Linked DNA regions of Tribolium castaneum. Each later gene encodes a partner of the first gene's protein in a complex. Links are inferred from orthologs where the notes say so. Each region holds a gene or a part of one and is shown on either strand. Other genes may lie near its edges.

Region 1 (4,578 bases):
ATGGTTATTTTTGACAGACTCTAACAAGAAAACCAAAAATAATATCTTTTCAAATTTTTAATATGTTAGAGAAGAAGGTCTTCTGAAGCTGTTTTACAAAAAAGAAGTTCATTGCTCGATGTTATCCAATCAAGACAGCGGAATTTTTAACTTTGAGTTTTATTTGAATTTTTCAAGAATGGTTATTTTTGACAGACTCTCACAAGAAAACCAAAAATAATATCTTTCCAAATATTTAATATGTTATAGAGGAAGATCTTCTGAAGCTGTTTTATAAAAAAGAAGTTCATTGCTCGATGTTATCCAATCAAGACAGCGGAATTTTTAACTTGGTGTTTTATTTGAATTTTTCAAGAATGGTTATTTTTGACAGACTCTAACAAGAAAACCAAAAATAATATCTTTCCAAATTTTTTATATGTTATAGAAGAAGGTCTTCTGAAGCTGTTTTATAAAAAAGAAGTTCACTGCTCTATGTTATCCAATCAACACAGCGGAATTTTTAACTTTGTGTTTTATTAGAATTTTTCAAGAATGGTTATTTTTGGCAGACTCTAACAAGAAAACCAAAAATAATATCTTTCCAGATTTTTAATATGTTATAGAAAAAGGTCTTCTGAAGTTGTTTAATAAAAAAGATGTTCATTGCTCTATGTTATCCAATCAAGACAGCGGAATTTTTAACTTGGTGTTTTATTTGAATTTTTCAAGAATGGTTATTTTTGGAAGACTCTCACAAGAAAACCAAAAATAATATCTTTCCATATTTTTAATATGTTATAGAAGAAGGTCTTCTGAAGTTGTTTTATAAAAAAGAAGTTCATTGCTTTATGTTATCCAATCAAGACAGCGGGATTTTTAACTTTGTGTTTTATTTGAATTTTTCAAGAATGGTTATTTTTGGAAGACTCTCACAAGAAAACTAAAAATAATATCTTTCCAAATTTTTAATATGTTATAAAAGAAGGTTTTCTGAAACTGTTTTATAAAAAAGTTTTATAAAAAAGAAGTTCATTGTTCATAATATCTTTCCAGATTTTTAATATGTTATAGAAAAAGGTCTTCTGAAGTTGTTTTATAAAAAAGAAGTTCATTGCTTTATGTTATCCAATCAAGACAGCGGGATTTTTAACTTTGTGTTTTATTTGATTTTTTCAAGAATGTTTATTTTCGACAGACTCTAACAAGAAAACCAAAAATAATATCTTTCCAGATTTTTAATATGTTATAGAGGAAGGTCTTCTGAAGCTGTTTTATAAAAAAGAAGTTCATTGCTCTGTGTTATCCAATCAAGACAGCGGAATTTTTTACTTTGTTTTATTGATTTTTTCAAGAATGTTTATTTTTGACAGACTCTAACAAGAAAATCATAAATAATATCTTTCCAAATTTTTAATATGTCATAGAAGAAGGTCTTATTAAGCTTTTTTATAAAAAAAAAGTTCATTGTACTGTGTTATCTAATCAAGACAGCCGAATAACAAAAGAAAAGAGGTCATTCCTCATTTTTTTTAATAGAAAAACATTTAAAGTACTGATACTTACGCTCGGAATTGCGATTCCCCCCTTCACAAACTCCCACTCCCCTTCCCCATCCTCCTCATCCTCCTTCTTCACCTTCCGCCTCTCCTTCTCCTTACGTTCCTTCCTCCTTTCCTCCTTCCTCCGATCGCGTTCTTCATCATCTTCATGCGCCGGCCCAGTTTTCTTCAAAAACCGCTCCCTCATAGTCCCTTTCCCTTCATCTTCATCAAAACTATCCGAACTCGAGTCACTATCACTAGGCCAATCGTCCGAATCAGACGACCCTTCATCATCAACAATCTGTTTGGAAATTTTAGCCACAGCTTTGGCCGGCGCTTCAGTTTGAGTGTCTGGCTCAGGCTCGTGTTTCTCTTCCTCTTCTTCATCGTCCGGCTGGTCGGGGTTTTCCCTAAACTTGGCAATATCCTCCTCGAAATCTTTGATGTACTTGCGCAACTTCTGGCGCATTGAAGCCAAAGACTTGCTGTTGTTTTTGCTCATGTTTTTGCGTCCGTCGCGATCTTCCCACATTTCGTTGATGAAATCTTCCATTTCGACCAAACAACGGGTGAAGAAACGGGGCGTTTGCCCCGATTCTTCTTTCGCGATCACTGGGAGCGCTTTAACGTAGGCCTTCTGAAGGTCTTCAAAACTGGTCAACATGCTGCTCATGTCTTTGATTTTTTTGTAATTGCGGATTTGTTTGATAATGTTAGTGAGTTCCTCGTAACGCTTCTCTTTGGCGGAGCGAACCACACGTTTGACCTCCTCTTCATCGTCGCTAAACTAGAAGGGGGCCATTAAAAAAATGTTAAGCTACATGGGGGCTCACTTACGGTGAAAACGGGCGCTGGCGCGCGCTGAATTGGCTCTTCCTCGGAGGAGCTGTCGGAGTCTGAGTCCGAACCGGCGAAAAAACGACTCATTTTTTTACCTACAAAGTGACATAACCTCAAAAAAATTACGTGAAATAACGCAATAACTAGGCGTTAAATTGGCGTTAGGTAACGGTTTTTCGCTTCTTTGGGCCAAATGAAGACCGAAAACTTAATTTAAGACTACTTTAAAGCTAGTTACTGGGGCCCATGTGGTTCATGTTTGGAGACGGAACTCCCCAAAATTATAGTTAGAAATGTCGGAACCACAATTTTAAGGTAAAATACACGTGAAAGAGGCAAAACTTACGTGTTTAAAGCCTTTTTTTCACTTAACAGATTTTCCGACACGATTGTAACCACAAAATGGCCAAAAACTTGTGCCAACTGTCAAAATCGGGACTTTTTTGTCTTGTGATTGGTAGTGTTATGGTAATATCGTAAAAAAAGGGCAAATTAATTTGTTTTTGGGCACGAAAGGGCCCTTAAGTCGAGAGCCAGGGTTAGGTGGTGGTATTTAGGTTCAAGTTGTGTCAAAAGTAAGGATTCTACGGTTAAGATACCAAAGACGTACAAATGAAACGCTCGCGTTTTCGGTAGTTCCTTTATTGTCACCAGAGAGCGCACTTGTTCCATTAGCAGATAGCAAAGAAAAAATACAGGCACATAGAGCATTAAACTCTCGATAGTAAGACAAAAAAGTAAGGAACAAAGTTGTAGAAAATCAAATTTCCAATATATATTTTTTATTTAAATTAACTTATTTATCTCCTAAATACACAACAAAATTATTTCTTCTTGATAATGCTTTGGATTTTTTGCCACTCCCTGTCCAAATGCGCCTTTTCGTTCTTATCCTTATGCTTCCTGGACCTGCGCCCATCTGCCATTTTAAGGCCGTACTGGAAGGCTGCTTTCGGCAAAGCCTCCTTCTGGTTCATATAATCGGAATACTCCTCAGCTGTGTCAAAGTCCCAGCGTCCAATCGGCCCCTTTTTATTCCCCAAGTCCATCTTAGAATAATCAACCTCATCATCAGAATCATCAATCGCATCGTTCATTTCCTCCAATCCGGGATAACACTCAGCATATCCCTCAGGCTCTTGAGCCAGTTTATTAAGGATTTGTGCCGATTTACTGACTTTGAAAGTCGGTCCGCTATTTTCAAGCGCTTCCTCTTGTTTATCAAAGTACGTGTGTTTGTTATGGTCACGTGACGAGTTTCCATGTTTACCACTTCTTGTGGGTACGTAATCACCAATATCTCCATAGATGGAGTCATCACCGGTTGTACGTTTTGTTGTTTTTTTCGGTTCGGGTTCTTCCGGTTGTTCGTTTTCGCGACTTTCGGGGAGTCCCCGTTTGGTTTTTTTGTTCTTTCGGTTGCCTTGGCGCAAGTAACTTAAAATTTGGGTTAATTTATTTATGACAATGTCGTTGGTTGTGAGGGTTGTGGTGAGTTCAAATGACGGAACGTCGGCGATTGAACGGATTAAAGTTGTTGGAATGTCTGATTCAGCCTCATCGTCTGAAATAAAATTTTAATAGTCATGTTGGTATTAAATTAATAGGAATTTTAACATTAAAATTCATGTAAAAATTTTTAAAAAAGAATCACAAAAACCTTTAAAAAATCCAAAAAGAAGTACAGAAACAATGCTAGAAAATAAATAAGAGCAATTCTAAAAGAAACTAGAGAAGAATTTTTATAAGCGAGAGAGGAGAATATAAAAAAAATTGCGGATTTAAGATCTAAAGAAGTCTTTAGGAGATAATCATAAAAATCTTTAAAAAAATCTAAAAGACAGTAAAAAAACAATGCTAAAAAATGAACAAGAAGAATTCTAAAAGAAACTAGACAAGAATTTTTATAAGCGAGAGAAGAGAATCTAAAGGAAAATTTTGCTGATTTAAAATCTAAAGACCTCTTTAGGAAAGAATCACAAAAATCTTTTAAAAAAATCTAAAGGTAAGTACAAAAACAATGCTAAAAAATAAATAAGAAATATTATAAAAGAAACTAGAGAAGAATTTTTATAAGCGAGAAAGGAGAATTTAAAGGAAAATTTTGCTGATTTAAAATCTAAAGACCTCTTTAGGAAAGAATCACAAAAATCTTTTAAAAAAATCTAAAGGTAAGTACAAAAACAATGCTAAAAAATAAATAAGAAATATTATA
Region 2 (3,534 bases), on another chromosome or scaffold:
CAGTTATTAACTTTGTAATTATGTGTAAATTAATTGTAACATAGATTTGATGTTAACATTTGTCCTTGAGAAGGAACGTACGCCGTGTTCAAACACAAATCCTATTAGAATATTTTTTACTTGTAAGGATTTAGGTTCTTAATTTTATTTAAGCGATTACGACAGTGGCTCTTTGTATAGAATTTATTTTTTTAATACTTGAATTCTTGCTTGTTTTTGATCTTTTTTATCTCAAAGGTGCTAATTAGTTTTAAGGCTTACGACAGGAAAATGTGATTCATATTTTATGTGCCTTTCTATTAAACACTGCCAAATGATTTTGTAATGTAACAAATGAATAAATCATAAAAACGATGAGTTTTTGGGTTTTATTAGGTATCAAATAAGAAGACAATTTCTTTATGTACAACTTTTACTTATCACAAATCTAGTTATTTATAAATCATACATTCAAACATACTGAACGCTGTGTGATAGTGACCAGACAAAAAATTATAGAATGACACTACCAGACTCACAACAAATTTAAAAAAGAACAATCTGATAACAAAACAATCATTTTCGAAATTTATAGTAACTTTACTTCGGGAATCCGTTGCTCAGTTCAATTTTGCTGTCAGTGAACTGCATATGATTATCGATGATTTGGAAAAGCTCTGCAGGTTGTGGTATCCTGCCCGTCTCCAGTTTGGACCAAACAGGAACGTCATTCAGTGAGATTTCAAAAGCCCCCGATTGAATCAACTGTCCTTCGATAATATTACACACAAAGAACAGCATCATGCAAGCATAAAGCTTGTTTTCTGTGCACCAAATCCACCATGAAGGCTGTGGTTGGTTAATGTATTCAAATATGTTAATAGCCCCCAAAATACACACGATTATCACCATTTTAACGATGCCCTGAAAACGCATAATCATCAACTTTCACTCATTATATCATACTTACAATAAGTCTGGCCAAATACATGTTCAAGCCTGGGGGGTCGTAATTTTGGCCATCAACGGCTATAAAAGGGTATTTGTCCCCAACGATTTTTACGTACTGCTCGAACGTTTTCCGGTAACCACACGAATAACTAAATTAAATAATTAGATTATGATATTGGGGCTAGGGGAACATACCAATACAAAAATTTTAAGGTTGGGGCCCCAACATTTTGACTTAGCTTCGACGGGAGGACGTCTTCAGCTGCTACGTTACCGTTTGATTCGAGAAAACACAGCCCCGCAAACACCACTAAATACCAAAAACATGATATTTGTCTTAAACCAGCCATTTATTTTGCTTTCTAATGCTCTCGTCAGCTGATAAATTTCCAATGACAGGTGGGACTGGTGGAAACGTAGGGGAATTTAGACACCGACTAGATCAGCCTAAAACACTAATATAATAATTATTTCACGTCCAAAAAACACGAGATTGTGTTAGCTGCTACAAAATTTGGTAACAAACAACGTAATCGTTAAATAAGGCCATTATCGGCTGGCAATTTTTACGAAAATTGTGTTTTTGTAGCAATTGTGGAGTTTTTGTTTGCGCTACATTGGCAGGTATTTTTGGCAGTTTAAAATGGCGTCTCGTGGGGCTGCTTCGAGGCGTGTGCCTGAAAATGACTCGACGATTGCTTACGTGCAAGCCGACGGCTTGGTAAATATCCCTTCAGTTTATTTAAACCCAAAAGTCACACTTTGGCTACCTCAGTTAGTAATTAATACCTAACATACGGAACCTAACCTCTTTCAGGCCGTCATGAAGATCGTAAAACACTGCCATGAGGAATCGACCACTAACATGGACATAGCCCAGGGGGCCCTTCTCGGCCTTGTCGTTGAAAACCGGCTGGAAATCACGAATTGTTTCCCATTCCCGAAACAAACCGACGAGACAATGGACGAGGACGAGTACCAGCTAGCGATGATGCGGCGCCTGCGACGCGTCAACGTCGACCACTTCCATGTGGGGTGGTACCAAAGCGCCGACGTCGGGAACTTCCTCAGCCTCCCTCTTCTCGAATCGCAATTCCACTACCAAACCTCAATCGAGGAATCCGTCGTTGTGATTTACGACACTCAAAAATCCTCGCGCGGGTTCCTCACACTTAAAGCCTACCGTTTGACGCCTCAAGCCATTGAGATGTACAAGGAGGGCGAATTCACGCCCGAGGCCCTCTTGAAGCTCAAAGTCGGATACGAGAACCTCTTCATCGAGGTCCCCTTCGTTATTAAAAACTCCGCCTTGACCAACATCATGATGTCCGAATTGCAAGAACTTGTCCCGGAAGAAGAAGGCTCGAAATTTTTAGATTTGGGAACCGCCTCCGTCCTCGAGGGGCAATTGCGCTGCCTCATGGACCGAGTTGACGAACTCAACCAAGAAGCGATCAAGTTTAATAGATACCAACAGTTGGTCAGCCGGCAACAGCAAGACAAACACAGATATTTGCAAAAGAGGGCGCAGGAAAATGCGGCTAGGGCCGCGAAAGACGAGCCCCCATTGCCCGAAGAGGACATTAATAAGCTGTTTAGGCCACATCCGGTGCCCCCGAGGCTGAACCCGATGATTATCGCGGGACAGATTAATACGTATAGTCAGGCCATTTCCCAGTTGTGCTCGCAGAGTTTGGCTAAGTTGTATATTACGCAAGCGTTGCAGAACGCCAAGGAGGCGAATTCTAATCCTTGAACTGTTTTGTTACGTTGTTTTACAATAAAATAATATACAATGAGTTTGGGTTTTATTTAAACCAGGCGTAATAAAGCTTAATTGGCGCAGTCAGTAGGTTTTGTGGTGGCGTCTCTTCTGTGAAATTTCTACGTTTGAACGTTTAATCATCCCCTTAAAAAATGGTACTAAACCAACAGTGGAGAAAGTCATATTCGCAACCTTTTCATCGTTTATGTTGATTTTGTTGTTTTTTGATTGAAATAAAGGACACAGCTTTTAAAAAATAATGTATTCAATTGCCCTAAACATCAATTTAGTCATTACAGTCTTACGAACCTAAAGAAATGAATTTTATTTATTTACATTTCTATTGCACAAACTGGCCAAAATGTACACACTTTTTTGTGCAACTTTCTCAAACTCATACAAACCAATAACAAACAACACACGAAAAACAACAACAAAACAAGACTAGATAATCAATCACAATAAATCGTTTCGTATTACGCTATTAGCAGTTCAATCAATAAGAAAAATCGTGTCATGAGTATAAAAATGTTGATTAATTCATTTGAAAAAATTCCCCATTTTACATTGATAAAATAGCTTAACACTACGACTAGACTCTAGGTAACATTCACCACTGGCGTCGTCCCATTTATCGTATTTACAGAATTTTAAAATGGCACATGGACAAATCCACGGTTTTACATTTCTATACACACGTACCGAGAAAACCTTTTGGTACAAATACATATACAGTGTGGACCAACAATAAAAGTATTTAGTTTGCCTTTTATTTATCCACGTGATTCACTTGTCGAATCAAACGCCTACATATTCCCGACATTAATCGAAATCGTGTT

Evidence for each region.
Region 2: eIF3c (region 1) and eIF3h share a complex: the UniProt entries of both Drosophila melanogaster proteins name them as parts of the eukaryotic translation initiation factor 3 (eIF-3) complex. The link is inferred for Tribolium castaneum from reciprocal best matches to the Drosophila melanogaster genes eIF3c and eIF3h.

What each region holds. Positions count from the first base shown.
Region 1 is NC_087401.1:16,334,248-16,338,825, forward strand, and holds the start of eIF3c (eukaryotic translation initiation factor 3 subunit C), read right to left. Parts: upstream 2,838-4,578; 5' UTR 2,706-2,837; intron 2,459-2,705; exon of another isoform or gene 2,456-2,458; 5' UTR 2,451-2,455; coding exon 2,361-2,450; intron 2,311-2,360; coding exon 1,546-2,310; intron 1-1,545. Other genes in the region: beag (protein Red), read right to left, coding at 3,188-3,927. UniProt on the Drosophila melanogaster protein: Component of the eukaryotic translation initiation factor 3 (eIF-3) complex, which is involved in protein synthesis of a specialized repertoire of mRNAs and, together with other initiation factors, stimulates binding of mRNA and methionyl-tRNAi to the 40S ribosome.
Region 2 is NC_087398.1:6,460,652-6,464,185, reverse strand, and holds eIF3h (eukaryotic translation initiation factor 3 subunit H), read left to right. Parts: upstream 1-1,423; 5' UTR 1,424-1,573; coding exon 1,574-1,651; intron 1,652-1,747; coding exon 1,748-2,686; 3' UTR 2,687-2,729; downstream 2,730-3,534. Other genes in the region: SelT (thioredoxin reductase-like selenoprotein T homolog CG3887), read right to left, coding at 580-903, 950-1,079, 1,126-1,280; SP555 (SPRY domain-containing SOCS box protein 3), read right to left, coding at 3,502-3,534. UniProt on the Drosophila melanogaster protein: Component of the eukaryotic translation initiation factor 3 (eIF-3) complex, which is involved in protein synthesis of a specialized repertoire of mRNAs and, together with other initiation factors, stimulates binding of mRNA and methionyl-tRNAi to the 40S ribosome.